2 linked regions of the Stegostoma tigrinum genome follow. Each later gene encodes a partner of the first gene's protein in a complex. Links are inferred from orthologs where the notes say so. Each region holds a gene or a part of one and is shown in the gene's direction. Other genes may lie near its edges.

The links.
Region 2: the proteins of arhgap35a (region 1) and ras GTPase-activating protein 1-like are in contact, whole or in part, in a crystal structure (PDB 8DGQ), measured with the Homo sapiens proteins. The link is inferred for Stegostoma tigrinum from reciprocal best matches to the Homo sapiens genes ARHGAP35 and RASA1. Residues at the interface, in NP_004482.4 of Homo sapiens: Ser1085, Asp1086, Tyr1087, Ala1088, Glu1089, Pro1090, Met1091, Asp1092, Ala1093, Val1094, Val1095, Arg1098, Glu1100, Asn1103, Ile1104, Tyr1105, Ser1106, Val1107, Pro1108, His1109; in NP_002881.1 of Homo sapiens: Arg188, Arg207, Ser209, Arg211, Val217, Asn228, His229, Phe230, Arg231, Ile241, Gly242, Tyr256, Leu262, Leu263, Lys264, Lys358, Ser379, Asp380, Asn381, Ser387, Gln397, Arg398, Phe399, Lys400, Met411, Gly412, Gly413, Arg414, His425, Tyr426.

Annotation. Positions count from the first base shown.
Region 1 is NC_081392.1:11,809,990-11,817,305, reverse strand, and holds the start of arhgap35a (rho GTPase-activating protein 35), read left to right. Parts: upstream 1-4,302; 5' UTR 4,303-4,905; intron 4,906-7,316. Other genes in the region: ap2s1 (AP-2 complex subunit sigma), read right to left, coding at 3,515-3,517.
Region 2 is NC_081356.1:95,788,503-95,796,355, reverse strand, and holds the start of ras GTPase-activating protein 1-like, read left to right. Parts: upstream 1-4,842; 5' UTR 4,843-5,052; coding exon 5,053-5,393; intron 5,394-7,853. UniProt on the Homo sapiens protein: Inhibitory regulator of the Ras-cyclic AMP pathway. Stimulates the GTPase of normal but not oncogenic Ras p21; this stimulation may be further increased in the presence of NCK1.

The DNA of each region.
Region 1 (7,316 bases):
TTGTTTACTCCCCATTGAAAGAAGTCTAGGAAATCAATCTGGGATCAGGTAATTACTGCAGTCATTTTATGTCTATGTTTACTGCCCTTCTCAAACCCATTCAAGTCCATAGATGATGGAATTTGAAAATTGTCATTATCTGGCACAATTCTTCACTTTGGCCAATATTAAAAGCACACTAACATCAATGGCATTCATTTAATATGCTGCTGTCAACAACTACAGTATTTGATTATTCTGCATTGGTTAATTCGACATGACTGGACATTGGGTTTTAGCTATGCTGCAAAAATAAACATGTACACATTAGCATTGCTAAAATTGAATATTAGGTCCTTTATTTTTTAAGTAAAAGCATTAGCTAGCTCTTCTTTCCATTCAAGTATTTCTATTAAGTGTTGGCACTAATCAGGAAGTCCTGTCTGCTAACTCAGCGGCTCAGGACACAATGCTGATGAAGTCTCTAATTAGACTGGTGGTTGGTAATGTAGGGTGGGAGAATACTGTTTAAAACTAGGAAATCCTCAGGAAAAGAAACAACATCCTTAAAAAATAGCCCTGGAAACAGACCCCACTTCAGTTAAACTTTTAAATAATTTGTACCCACCGATGGAATAAATTAACAATGAACAGGTCAATTCTGAATTGCAAAAAATGTGACTTAGCAATATTTAATTTAGTGAGCTTTTTTAATCATCAGGATAAGAGATGAGAAAATAAAACTTTTTCATTTTTGAAACCTAGCATTAGCACCAACTGACCCAGCCTGCATCAGCTGTGACTGTAGCAGGACACTTCTAAAGCATTCCCATTCTATGACTCCCTATTGACTGACAGTCAGCTTTGCGCTCTTAGTCTTTGGGAACAAGGTTAAAACTCACCATTCTAACCTGTAATGAGAATACTTAAATTATATTAGACTGAGCAAGACTTGTACTTGTATCTGGAGATAAAAGATAAAGTGGTATTACTTTAACGACAATCCCAAAATATTCTGGAATATAGTTACCCAAGCTGCTGAAGTATATTGCGAAAATGGCCTCCATTTATGAAATATATGTCCCCAGTGTAAATTCAAAATAAATCCAGGTAAAATGAATGATTTTATTCAAAATGTCTTCAGCTATACAAATAAAATTCATACTCCATTCTGAAAAAATTTACAATCTATTATCAAATGCAACCCCATAGCAGATTTAACACTATAGAAAATGTTGCAAGGTCGAATGCCTCTTAAACAGCATGTGGTTGTATCTACACTAAATGGATTTCAGTAGTTCAATGGGGCAGCGCACCACCATCTAAAGGGCAACTGGTGATGTGCAATGCTCAACCAGTAACACCCATACCTCAATTTTTCCTTATAGGACAACTTCTTCATCCCAGGTACCAGATATATCAAACAGTGATTGACCACATCCACTTGAAAAAAACTTGGGAATAGGACATAGCCCAATTTATTCTTAATTTTTGTAACTGGATGGAAGAAAATGCAGAATTGCCCCAGAAATGAGAAGAAATCCAAGGGCAATAATTTGAAAGCAATGTAGATATTCCAACTGAGTGCACATATGGTATGGGACAGAAGACGCAATGCATACAGATCAACTGTAAGCCACATAACAAAAACCCTTTGCCTAGGTCCCATCACATTGACAGAGAATTTAAGATTATAATCATGATTACTTTGCCATTTCAAGGAATGCAAAGGAATTGTGAAGGTAAGAGGTCTGACAATTCCCCAGATGTAGCTTGTTGATCTCTGGTAATTCCTCAGAGGGGATGTTTTCCTTAGGGATAGAGGAAAATCAAATATTTTACTGAAATGCAAAACTACACAATTCCTACATTTGGTCACAGAGCAAGGAAGATGTAGGTTGCCAACATGCTTCATCAGTTTGAAGCTCAAATGCACACTCTCATATATACAGGGGCCCATCCTCTGCAAACAAAAAGAATATGCTCAATGCTTGTGTCGCCTTTGAATTATCTGTAAGATCAGGGAACCTGTCATATCTTCATTGCTTTCTTCATGGCAACACCTGACTGTCAGAATCCACTTTCTATCCAATCAACACCCTTTTCTCTTGAAATATAAATTGCTGTGGCTGCTGTCATTCCTTTGACCTTTCAAATTCTATGCATCTGTCTCCTAAATTGAGGTATCCTTGCCTATGCTTTAAAGTAATTTACACATCTTTGTACTGTTTCTAAATCTATTAACTGGTTGTTAATTCAATTACTTGCTTCTTTGTGAAAATAGCAAACACTAGAACTTTTCACGTAATATCATTAGTTTTTCCTACCGAAACATTAAATTTAGTTTATTTCTTGCGAGATACCCTGAACATATGCAGATCCAAAGGAAGTCAAGTTCTTGGTCCTAAAATTTAGAGGTATGGTCCAGTTCCAAAACACTAACTGGTCTTCTTCAGATGCTCTCTCAAGATGATCCATAAAATTGAGAGGGAAAGAAACAAATTTGCATGTCCTCCCTTATTTTATGGAAGCATAACTAAAGTATCAGAACCAAAATAAAAAAACTCAGAATAAATCAATTTTATCATGGACCTGTTAGATAAATTTGTTCCCTAAAAACAAAACCTAATGCACATTTCTAGCATTTGGTATGCATTTCGGATTTACAAAGCAAATGTAAAATCAAAACATTTTCACCCTAACAGGACCATACCCGGGTTTACACTCCATCCAAGGTTCCTTCAATCCTTTCTTCTCTAACCCCCTCAAAAGATTGTCCTATTCCTTTTGTCCTCGCATTTTTATGAACTTCAGTTAAATTATTCTCAGCTATGCCTTATGAAAGTGACACAAACAGAAACTGCTGGCAAAACTCAGCAAGTCTGGCAACATCCCTGGAGAGAAATCTGAATTGTGTCCAGTGACCCTTAGAAACGTGAGTTTAACGTTTTCACCACTCTCTGGGCCAAGTCATTTTCCTGTTGGATTTATCAGTGACCACCTTATCTACATATGGCCCACGTGACCTGGTCTGAGCAATATGTAGAACCATCTTCTCGAAATCTGCCCTGACAAAACCTTTCACATTTATGAAGAACCTTACCAGGTCGTCCAAAGCTTTTTTTCTTCTCTGGAGAAAGCAGCCCCAAACCTGTTCAGTTTTTCCTGATAGTTGAAACCTGTCAATTATGGCTACCACCTTCAAAAAACTGCTCCTTTGAAAATGCAAAAGCTCAATTATACCTGTACCATTTTTGACTTTTACGACATAAAAACACTCAGTGGATGCTTTAAGCAAGGGAAAAGCGACAAGGCCTCTATTTCACGATAAGTATTCACTCTGTGGCTGTAAGATACCAAAGCAAACATTTCAATCCTAAGGTTTGCCTTTTTGAAGAATTACCCACCTTTTGTTAATTCATTTGCGTTATTTTTATAATTTACAGAAAACCCTTCATCGCTGGGCTTACGTTAGGCCTCATCCTACATTCAATCTATTTCGAAATGGGGAAATTAAAAAAAGATCACTACTTACCATTACGACTCTGCTTTTTGGGTGTGGTTTTCTTTTTATAAAAAGCTGTGTTTTATGGGAGTTTATTTCTTTCCCTTTGCCGGGACATATGATATTTTATTTCAGAGGGGACACTTTTTTTTCTCCCTTTCAGTCACCGCTGACTGTCAGAACCCGCAGCCCACCACCGCACATGCGCTAGCCTCACCCAAGGCACGCTGGGGAATGTAGTTCTTTCCATCCGCGCCCGGCCGTTTCCTCCTCTCTTTCCCAATAACACCACAATTCAAATCTATCACAATGCGTCCCTTTTGGAATGCTAAGGAAATATTTTTCACCGGGAGATGTTACTATAAAAACACAAACGAAGTCCCAGGTCACGAAAATGACTCTCAAGTTTGTCTCTTGATTCTAGCCATGTTAATCAAGCCTAGCAGTGACTCATCGACATTTAGATGTCTCACTAATCGAGGAATACGATTGCATTACAATTCATTGTAATGCTGAGTGAATTAAATAATGCAAAAGCTGTATACAGCTAGGGAGATGAGACTACAATTCCCGGCACCCTCGGTCACACCCAACTTCCGATCCGGCGCTGTCGCCTTCCACATCCCTCAGCTCCACCACCACCCTCAGAGCCGCCGGAGGCCTACAACCTAACGTGCTGGATGGACGCCGAACCTGATTGACGTGATCAATGTCCAATGGAATCCGAGTCTCCTTGGAGATTGCCCAATGGAAGCCTAGAGAGGGTAGGCGGGGATTTAAAAAAATGAAATCATCAAGCTTGGTTGGGAAAACAAACGACGATGGTGGAGGAGCGAGGGGGAAGGGGGTGAAAAAATGTACTCATTGTCGTGAGGCCAGTTTTTTAAAGTATTATTTTGAGGGGGATAGTTGAGGCGGCAATTTTGAGTGAAAATCGGGCGGGGCCTATCGAATGGTGTGTGCGGAGGTGGATTTTTGTTGATGTTTGACTAATTGTTTGACGATCGGGAAGGAGGAGGAAAGAAAAATATATTTGTCTCTTGGAGGAGGAGAGATCACCTGACCCATCGAATCACTGCGCCTCCATGGCGGCCTGAGAAGCATCATGGGCGATGTCTACTCCTGGGGGGAATCTAGCAGCAGCAAAGAGAAAAAGTTGTTGAAGGGAACGAGTACGGAAGAAATATCCGCCATTTCTGTCCGGTCATAGATTTGCAAGAGGAACGAGAGCAAAGAGAAAGCAAAAGAGAGGGTTTGGGGAAAAAAACCACATTACTTTAATCCACATACATTCCCTATCCTCCAAATCTGTCCTGTGATTCCTTAGGAAAACAAGATGTCTGCTGACCATAAATTTTAAGATAGACCCAGGAACAAACCTGTGTCTATTATTTGCCTCATCTTGTGGAAAGAAAGCAAAGGTAGGGAGATGTTTTATTTTCTTTCTCATCTCTCACGTTTCCATCTACAATCTCTTTTTCTTCCCATTGAGTGGATCTTTAATTTGTATTCTAAACCTGCTCTTTCTCTCTGATTTTGGCCTCCCAGCATTTATTTCGTTGGAAATATTTCGGGGGAATTTTTGCTGGTGTCTTTTGGTTTGTACATGTATTTTGAGAGCAGTCAATGGAATAAAATTTTTTAGACTACTTGATGTGGTTGAGTAATCCATGTGTCAATACGTGTTGAAGAACTAATTTCATTTTTTCATTGTTAAAACATATAAAAATGAATGACACCTTTCTCTTCCCTGAATGAATGAATTTTAACAATTAGTAGGATTATGTAAGGAAAGTTTAGAAAATGTATCTGTTTCAGACTTTTGTTTGCATTTTACGGTGTTAGTTTTTAATTGCTTGGGCATATTGCTGTCACCTCTAACATGCAGCACCTAGAATAATTTAAAATGCTTTTTGCAGAAAAAAATGTTTGAGCAGCTTCAAGGCAATCTAGTTTTAAGAAAGACTTAAAACTCAATACGTATACAAGTGATAAAGATATAACTGTGTCCGGATAATGGATTATTGATTAATTTTGAATATTAAGTTCTCATTCTATTTATTCCATTCCTAAAAGTTGAGAAGGGTTAGATGCTGAAATAGAAGGAAAAAATTGTTTTGGCTTTTTTTAAAAAAAAGTGAATGGGCTTGTTTCTTTCTCTTTCTGTTTTTTTTTCAGTTAAAGAGCATGTATGTGCTGACATAAAACATAGTACGTTCACGGATGTAGTGATTTCTGCTTTTAATGAGCATGGTGCACTCTGTGTTTAAGCAGTGACTTCAAGTCTACAAACTCTGTCTGAACCCTCCTCCCCCTTTTTGAATATATGTGGAATATGCCTTGACATGTTGGTATCCATTGCGTTAAGCACATGTTTGTGGTATGCATCCAAAAGAGTGACTTCTGGTTTATTATATCGAAGTATACTTTTATGGGCTGGGGTGAGGGGAATTGTTTATGTTCATGATTCAGTGAACTATGGTGGAGGGATTCTCCAGATTGTATTACAAGGCATTAAGAGATCAGAATTGGAGTGATATTATAAACTGAGTTCTTCTGTCCTTTTACAAAGGTTTCTTTAATCCACCCATCTACTGCATTATTTTTAGACAGTGTTGCCAGTAAGATCTAATGGAGTGAGTGTAATTTAGCCCCCTCCAAATTTAATTATAATTTTTCTTGAGCTGACCAACTTATGCTTATCAGTTACCAATTCGCCATCAGTGCCAATAACCTAAGTAACTGTATCAAAACCCCCTCACGATTTTTGAGCTGTTCCATTGATCTTAACATGACAAAATGGAAAATCCTGTGCGTGTAAGGTGCCAGTATGAAAGCTGTAAACTTAATGTAACCAGTTAGGCCCAGGATTCGTGGCTTGTGGTGAGTAAGCCATCCTTAGTCATGATAGTAGCTGCCCTTCTAGGGGGCAGAGGTATATTCAGGTAGTTTCACTGCTGCTTTTCAATGAAACATGGGTGTGCACAGACGTGAGCGAGGAAAGCTTCAAGGTTCAGTTGTGATGATTGCTGTGAATGGATAGGCTGCAGAAGTTCCCTGGCGAGTTTCATGCATCTGGAATGACCTTGTTAGCAGCCGTAGAACCGTGCCCTGTAAGAATTGGAACTGTATATTTAATGAATTAGATTTCATTTATTGATGTTTTTCTATTCTGTTTGCCGTTAACCTCTGGATCCCTTTTTATTTTTGTCGCTTTTAACTTAGAATGTGTCTCTCTCTCTCACTTTTTCTTCCTCCTGCCTCTGAAAAATTACACTGACGAATGTTTATGCAGCAGGAATTGCAGACATGAGCCATCTTCCAATTGCAAGAGGCTCTGTTCCATTCTGAACTATAAATCATTTGTAATCTTCAAAGATCAATCTTGGCATTTTCTCATGTTGATTTCTGTAATGATTTTATCTTGATCTTCATATTTTTAAATTCTTGGAAGTTAGAATGTGAAAAATCAATTAGACCAAATAACCTTGCAGCAGTGTATATAATTTTTGAAAATACTGCAATAAATTAATATGAAGGCCAATGAATTGCTTTAAAAAATCATTCACAGATCAGAATTTTAATCACTATTTGAATTTAAAACAAAGAATTAATGGTAGTTGTTTCTGATGGGTTGCATGAAGACACTCCGCATTACAGCCTGCAGAATTTTCTCCTATATGATTTCTTGATTATCACCTTTTTAGCCAGGAGGGATTGCTACCTGACAAATACGGCATTACCAAGGGACTTGGAAGAGGGTTTAGGTGCAGAAATCAGTGTTGTCTCTTCTGCTGTTTCACCTGCTAAGAATGGATTCCCAGGGGTGGAC
Region 2 (7,853 bases), on another chromosome or scaffold:
GACGACTAGATTTTACATTCTTTAAAAGCCTTAAGTTATTTTCATAGGCTTAGAGATCTACTTACAACTTATTTAGATCTTTGTGGATATTTCTTTAGAGAAAAATCAACAGCTTTTTCTGAACAAAAGGTATTGTGTGACTTACTTTGTAGTCACTAGATCTCTCAAACTCATTTGATATCCCGAGTCAAAAACATGTGTGCAACTCATAGAGATACAGAAGCCTTATGGCACAGGAGGAGGTCATTTGGCGCATTGTGTCTGCACCAGCTCTTCGATCATCATTACTTCGCACCAATCTCCTGTTCTTTCCCCATACTTGTTGCATATTATTCTTATCCAAATAATCGACCAATATTTTCTTGAATGCTTCAGTTGAACACTCCTCCACCACTTCCAGGCAGTGCATTCTATATCATAACTACTCAGAGTGATTTTTTTTCATATCACCTTTGCCTCTTTTGCAAATCACTTTAAATCTACCCCCGCAACTTCTTGTTCCTTTTGCAAGCAGGAACAGTTATCCCCATCTGCTCCATCCAGATATACATTATTTTGAAAACTTCGAACAAATGTCCACTTAGCTTTCTTTTCTCCAAGAACAACAATCTCACCTTCGTTCTATGCTCATAACTGTAGTTTCTCATCCCTGAAATCATTTTTGTCAATCACCTTCAAACACTATCCAATGTGGTCATTCCTTTTTGGCACCAAAAACTGTGCATAATACCCTAGCTGAGGTCTAACAAATATCTTATGCAAGTTCAAAACCACCTCCTTACTTTTGTATTCTATGTCCCTGCTAAAAAAAAGCCAAGGATATTGAATGCTTTACTCACTATTCCCTCCTATCTTGCCACCTTTAATGATCTTACATATATATTACGTATATTACAAAACTACACACCCAAGTCCCCACGTCTCTCAACCCTTTTAAGAATTGTACTTCTGTTTAATATTATCTTTCAATGTTTTTCTCGCAAAATACACCACCTCATACTTGTCAAGTCACTAACTGATCTATGTCCTTTTGTAGTTCCACATTGTCCTTCTCACAGCTTTCAAATCTTCCAAGTTTTGTGTCATTAGCAAAATTTGTAATTATTGTCTGCAGAGACCAAAATCTAGATCATCTATTTATATTTTATAAATTATATAGAAAATGTGTGTATGTAGAAAAGGACCCCCACACCCCTCTACAACAAATCTTCCTCCAGCCTCAACAAAATTCATTCACCATTACACCCTGTTTCTTATCATTCAACAAATTTTGTATCCATGTTGCTACTGAATCTTTTATTCCATGACTTACCTTTCCTCACAGGTCTGTGTGTAGTTCAATTGTATGAATCTCTCCTTTAAGTCAGTAGGTTGTATGCTTAAGCCACATTCCAGAGACTTGAACAGCTAATTTAGGCTGATATCACTGGGCAGTACCAAAGTGGCAGTCTATCAGATTATATATTAAACATAGATTCAATTCCAGATCAGGCAATTCATTTTCCCATATTCCTACATGCTCATACTCTCCCCAGAACCCTGTTTGATTTCTGACTTCCCACATACTGTCTGTATTAATAACTACTAACTCCTTCAGAACGTAAGGGCTTATTAGCATATACTGAAACAAATAAAGCAACAGCTACTGAGTAGGTAACAACAAATAACAGAGAAGATTGAAAGGGTGATGGCTAGCAGAGGCTCAGTAAGCTTATCTCCACTCCATACCCAAAAGCACATAGTCCAGGCTGACAATCGAATGCTGCATTTAACCAACACCTAGAAAAGATTATCTAATATTTGGTAATTATTTATTTTCTGTTGTGTAAAGTTGCCATGCACAGATTGGTCAGTGTTTCCTACATTAAAAGTACTTATTGAATGTTTTGGAATGACATAAGACCCTAAAAGTTATTATGAACCTCCTGGAATCCTTCTGCTGCGACCAAATTCAGAGTTGAGCAATTGTTTTGAAAGTCTGACAACAGCTATACGACCAGAGCTGGCTGATTAGCATGATTAACATGTTGATGCTTGAGACGTTGCCTTGAGAGTGTCATCTCAGTTGGGCCACCTTTCTCAAGGCCATATCTGGTGAATCTTGCAAAGACCACTGGTTGATACTTCTCTAATGCTTTAAGGTACAAATATCTAATGCAAGTTCAAAACCACCTTGTTACTTTTGTGTTCTATGTCCCTGCTAAAAAAAAGCCAAGGATATTGAATGCTTTACTCACTATTCTCTCCTATCTTGCCACCTTTAATGATCTGTATATGTATATTACAAAACTACAGACCCAAATCCCTACGTCTCTCAACCGTTTTAAGAATTGTACTTGTTTAATATTATCTTTCAAATATCCCAAGCATATTAAGAAGGCATACAGTGTTTTAGCTTTTATTAAGAAGGCATACAGTGTTTTAGCTTTTATTAATAGAGGGATCGAGTTCCGGAACCAAGAGGTTATGGTGAAGCTGTACAAAATTCTGGTGCGGCTGCACCTGGAGTATTGTGTACAGTTCTGGTCACCGCATTATAAGGATGTGGAAGCTTTGGAAAGGGTGCAGAGGAGATTTACTAGGATGTTGCCTGGTATGGAGGGAAGGTCTTACGAGGAAAGGCTGAGGGACTTGAGGCTGTTTTCATTAGAGAGAAGAAGGTTGAGAGGTGACTTAATTGAAACATATAAAATAATCAGAGGGTTCGATAGGGTGGATAGGGAGAGCCTTTTTCCTAGGATGGTGACGGCGAGCATGAGGGGGCATAGCTTTAAATTGAGGGGTGAAAGATATAGGACAGATGTCAGAGGTAGTTTCTTTACTCAGAGAGTAGTAAGGGAATGGAACGCTTTGCCTGCAACGGTAGTAGATTTGCCAACTTTAGGTACATTTAAGTCGTCATTGGACAAGCATATGGACGTACATGAAATAGTGTAGGTTAGATGGGCTTGAGATTGGTATGACAGGTCGGCACAACATCGAGGGCCAAAGGGCCTGTACTGTGCTGTAATGTTCTATATAGGAGAGCGCGAATCACAGCTGTCCTTTAAACCATGAACTCAGACTCAGAAACAGGAACTTTACGGAGGTCAAGCATATTTGCTGACTCATGGAGACCCCAGCTGTGACCAACTAAAATCGAGAAAGTGCATTCAGAATACATCCAGAAACCTCAAATAAAAGCAGACATTTCAAGTCTGATGTCTCCAGTGAACTTGAAACAATTACATTTTTTTTCTGTCCGAACAGATGCTGCCAGACATGATGACTTTCTCTAGTAATTTTTCTGTGACAGATACTTCAAGCAGAACATGCAGAAGTGAGGTAACGTAGGGAGTAGACAAACCTCAAAACAAACCATTTCCCCAAGTCTATAAGAAATAAAAAGAGGTATAGGCTGTTCAGCCCCTTGAGCCTGCTCCACCATTCAATAGGACTGATACGATTCTTCAAGCATCACATGTCCCACGTAGCACAATCTGCCAATTCTGAAACTGCTGATAAGTCCATTCAACTAGCACAGAAGCACAATCCTTAATCTTGAGATACATGAACATGGAACAAGAGTAGGCCACCCGACCCTTTGAGCCTGCTCCACTATTCAATAAAATCATAGTTGATCTTAGCTTAACGTTTACTCCACATTTGTGCATATCCCCTCTCATCCTCCCGGTCAAGCACCTATCTACTTCTGCCTAGTACTAGAGCTGCCTGACACTACGAAGAAGAAAATATGAATAAAACCTAAATTTAGTTGACACAAAACTGAATTGGGCAGGGCTAATAGATCAGTTGTTTTTTTCTTCTGTCCATTAGTTTTGTGTGCGCAGTTATAACTATTACTCTGAAGTTAACATGGACCGGTCTGTTTCCCTGTCAAACATTTCTAAAATCGATTTTCACATTTTCAGCAGATTACCAATTGATACGTGAAATCAGAACTTTTATTTAAAAAAGCTTGTGATATAAATAAATAAGGAAGTTGAGGTTTGTTGCGTTTTGCACAACAACCTCATTCATGTTCATTTATAGAAAAGATGCGGAAGTTGGACATCTGATACTGGGTTGTCGACATCGAGGAAGACTCCTGAATAAGATCTCAGGATCAGGAGCGAAAGAACACCCGAAAATATCTTATCTCTGAAGTAACATTCAGCTAAACAGTCCTTACGTTTACAGTCAGAGCGAATAAACGTGGTTCCTAAAAAGGAAGACTAGCATTCAGCTTCCTTCATTGTCTTTCTTTCGCAAACAAGACATACACACAAGAGATAATGGGAACTGCAGATGCTGGAGAATTCCAAGATAATAAAATGTGAGGCTGGATGAACACAGCAGTCTCTCTGATGAAGGGTCTAGGCCCGAAACGTCAGCTTTTGTGCTCCCGAGATGCTGCTTGGCCTGCTGTGTTCATCCAGCCTCACATTTTATTATCTAAGACATACACACAATATGCCCACGCACCCCGATTTCTGTAGTCTGAGGTGTTGCGGGATTGCAGAGCACATCGTTTCCCCGGATTGAAGTCGATTTCTCGAGCCTGAAACGGATATAGCACAAGAAAAGTTGCGCAAGAAAGCGGGGAGTGTGTGTGTGACAGCGAGCGAGCATTTTCTTAGTTTACAGCCACTGCATGTCTTGTGACTGATAAGCTGGGTCCGGGACCTGAAACGATCGCGTGCACTACTGACTTTTTAACGGCTGCACCGCGAGCTACAGCTCGCGCTCCAGCCTTCACCCGCTCGGAGCCGGAGTTTGAGCAAGCAAGCAAGCGCCCACCCCCTGCTCCCCACCCACGCGGCGCGAGTGAGTGGCTTTACTCTCCCCCCCCCCCCCCCCCCCCAAACTGCATGGCGGACGGACGGAAGACTGATGAAGTCATGAACTCTCCTCTCTGCCGACTGCTCCTGTGCTAAAGTTGAGTCTTCATTTCCCCCTACGCCACTCCTGTCGCATGTTGATATTTTTATATGTAAAAAGTTTTTCCTCTTCCAACCGGCCCTCTGACTCCCCCCTGTTATTGTGTGTGTGCCTGTACGCGGGGCTGTGACCATGATGGCGGCGGAAGTCGGGAACGATTGCTTGTTGGCGGCGGCTATGACCGTGGCGGCTCCGGGCGCAGATTCGGAGACCGCTGTTTTCCAGTCTTCCCCGCAGAAAGTGTCAGAACTGAGCACCGTGCGGCCTGTCGAGTCCGAATCATTGTCACCACCACCAGCAGCATCAACACCACCGCCTCCGGCCCCGCTCCTTTCCGAACCTGTTGTCGGGGCTTCCCATATCCCCGGTGCTACTGCCCTCCCCGTGCCCCCGGACGAAGTGGATTCTTTCGACGGCCATGAGTTTGAAGAGGAAGAAGTGGAGATCCCGCTGACGGCTCCTCCAACCAACCAGTGAGTAATATGCTAGAGATGGCCTGTCCCAGACAGCGGCCCAGGGGCTTGTCAAGGGGGGGTGAAGAAGGTGGGAGGGAAGGTTCCTGAGAACAAAGAGCCAGTGCCGCAGGCCTGCCATCACACCTGACTCGAAATAATTGTAAACATAAAGCTAACAGAAAAGGAGACAACATAACATGCTTTGTCTGTTGCTACCGAGAGGAGTGTGAATTCATAGTTCACATTAGCCGGAAGCTGATTTTCTAGCTATTATTTACCACATGCTGATTGAAGTCTTGAATGTTCGAGGTGTTCAAAATTGCCTTCTTGTTGAGCAGTGTTCGTTTTAATTTGTTTGGTGCTTTAATGCTGGAATATTCTACGTTGCTGATGATTTACAGGATTTGGAATGATACTGGAAGCTGTTTGCGGATATCAGGAATGTTGTGTAACTGTTGGAGGAAATCGAGACACCTTAGACTTTCTGTTTTACCTTTTTTGGTTTTGTTCATCTTACTGGTTACTGCTCAGTTATATCACATGAATTGTGATTTTAAACATGCTTCTTATGAGTCGCTTCAGTTGGGAGAATGGTTTGATTTATAGCAGATTAGGTGCGTCAATATGAAACTGGTGTTGCAAATACTTAAACATTTTGAAAAGAACTGAGTGGTTGCAAAGTTTTAAGAGACACTGATAAATTTACTCAGGAAAGCATATGCAAACGCTACGGTCAGACCTGCATTCTCGAAGTTAGAATGTTACAGATTATCGGGAAGTGTTTTGTGATTCCTGGATATCAGTTCTCAGTTGCGCACGGTCCTGCGAAATGAACCTTCTGTTTGTAAAGCTAATCACTTTTTAAAATTGTTTAAATTGTATAATAACTTTGAATATCGAAAGTTCACATAATTATAGTGATGTTAAAATCATGCGATCTGTTTTTGATTTTTTTTCAACTCCGATTTAAGTATAGGATTAGACTGTTCTATCTGTCGTATCTGTGTCAATGCAAATATTTCATCGATTGGTTTGTAATTCCAATTCCGTAATTGCATCTTTTAGGATTTTGCTGAAATCCTGAGATTGATATTTTTTGATTATTTGGGGTGATAAATTATAATAACACTTGAGTGCAAGCACCTTAATTTCCAATATTAGCTTTGGTGGTAATCTTGATGGGTTTGCCTTGTTGTGGTGTCGCCATCTATTTGAAATTGACTTGTACACTTTGTGCAAGTATATTCAGAACTCTGAATATTTCCATTTTGTTTTGAATGCATTGTGATTTTTGAACTTTCCCAACACTATGGTGTGTATATCATCTCTAAATTAAGAAAAACACTGGCAGTCGAGAAAAGAATAACAAATAGTGTAGGGGTGAGTGAGAGTTTCAAAGTCAAAGTTGGATTGCGCCAAGAATTGCTTGTCATGGTTGTTCCAAGTAAGCAAATGATACAGAAAGTCTATGATGTGTGCAGATGACATTGGGGATGATGAGAACATGAGTATTTGGAGAATTGTGGAAAAGCATTAAAAGATGGAGATCAGTAGATCAAAGATACAATATGTGGGATGTCCATTTAAGCCTGGGAAAAGAGGATAAGAGTCAATCTGTGGAGATTACAGCTAAAGATCTGGAGAAAATGAATATTTTTAATTATGTGAAATTGGTGGTGGTAGGAGATGAAAGTACGTGCAGTGGAAATTAGTTTTGGTTAGAATATTTGAATTGTTGCGATCCCATCTATAAATTAAACCTGGACAAGTCGGATCACAGAACTGATAGTAAGAACTGCAGATGCTGGAGTCAGAGTTAACAGTGTGGAGCTGGAAGAACACAGCAGGCCAGGCAATATTAGAGGAGCAGGAAAGTTGACGTTTTGGTTTGGTACCCTTCAGCCTGAAACATCAACTTTTCTACTCCTCTGCTGCCTGGCCTGCTGCATTCCTCCAGCTCCACACTGTGTTATCTCCTGGAACAGATGATGTGATTTAGTCAACTACAAGAATTTGTATTTACATTGCAACTTGAGTGTAATGTCCCAAAGCACTTTGCTGAAATGTTGACCTTTTACTACAAAATGATTGATTGAAATGGAAAAGGGAAAAGCAATGCTTCAGTTAAACACTTTTGTTCAGATGCATGCCTATCTGTGTCTTAAATGTGAGACTGATTATTTTTAAATGATACCCCCCATGTTTCTATTCACCTGAGAGAAAGCATCCTCTCAGCATCTACCGCATGAAGTCTTCTCAGGGTTTTGTGTTTCAATAAGATCACCTCTTATTTTTTCCAATGAGTAAAGACGCAATCCTTTGTCAGAACAGTTCCTGGAATGATGGAATCTTGACAAATATGGGATGGAAATGAAAAGGAATGATGGTCATAGTTTGAATAATGCAGAATTTTGAGACGGTGTGGCAGGATTTGAACTCTGTTTTAAAACTGAAGCTTTTGGACCTGGAGCTGTTTGG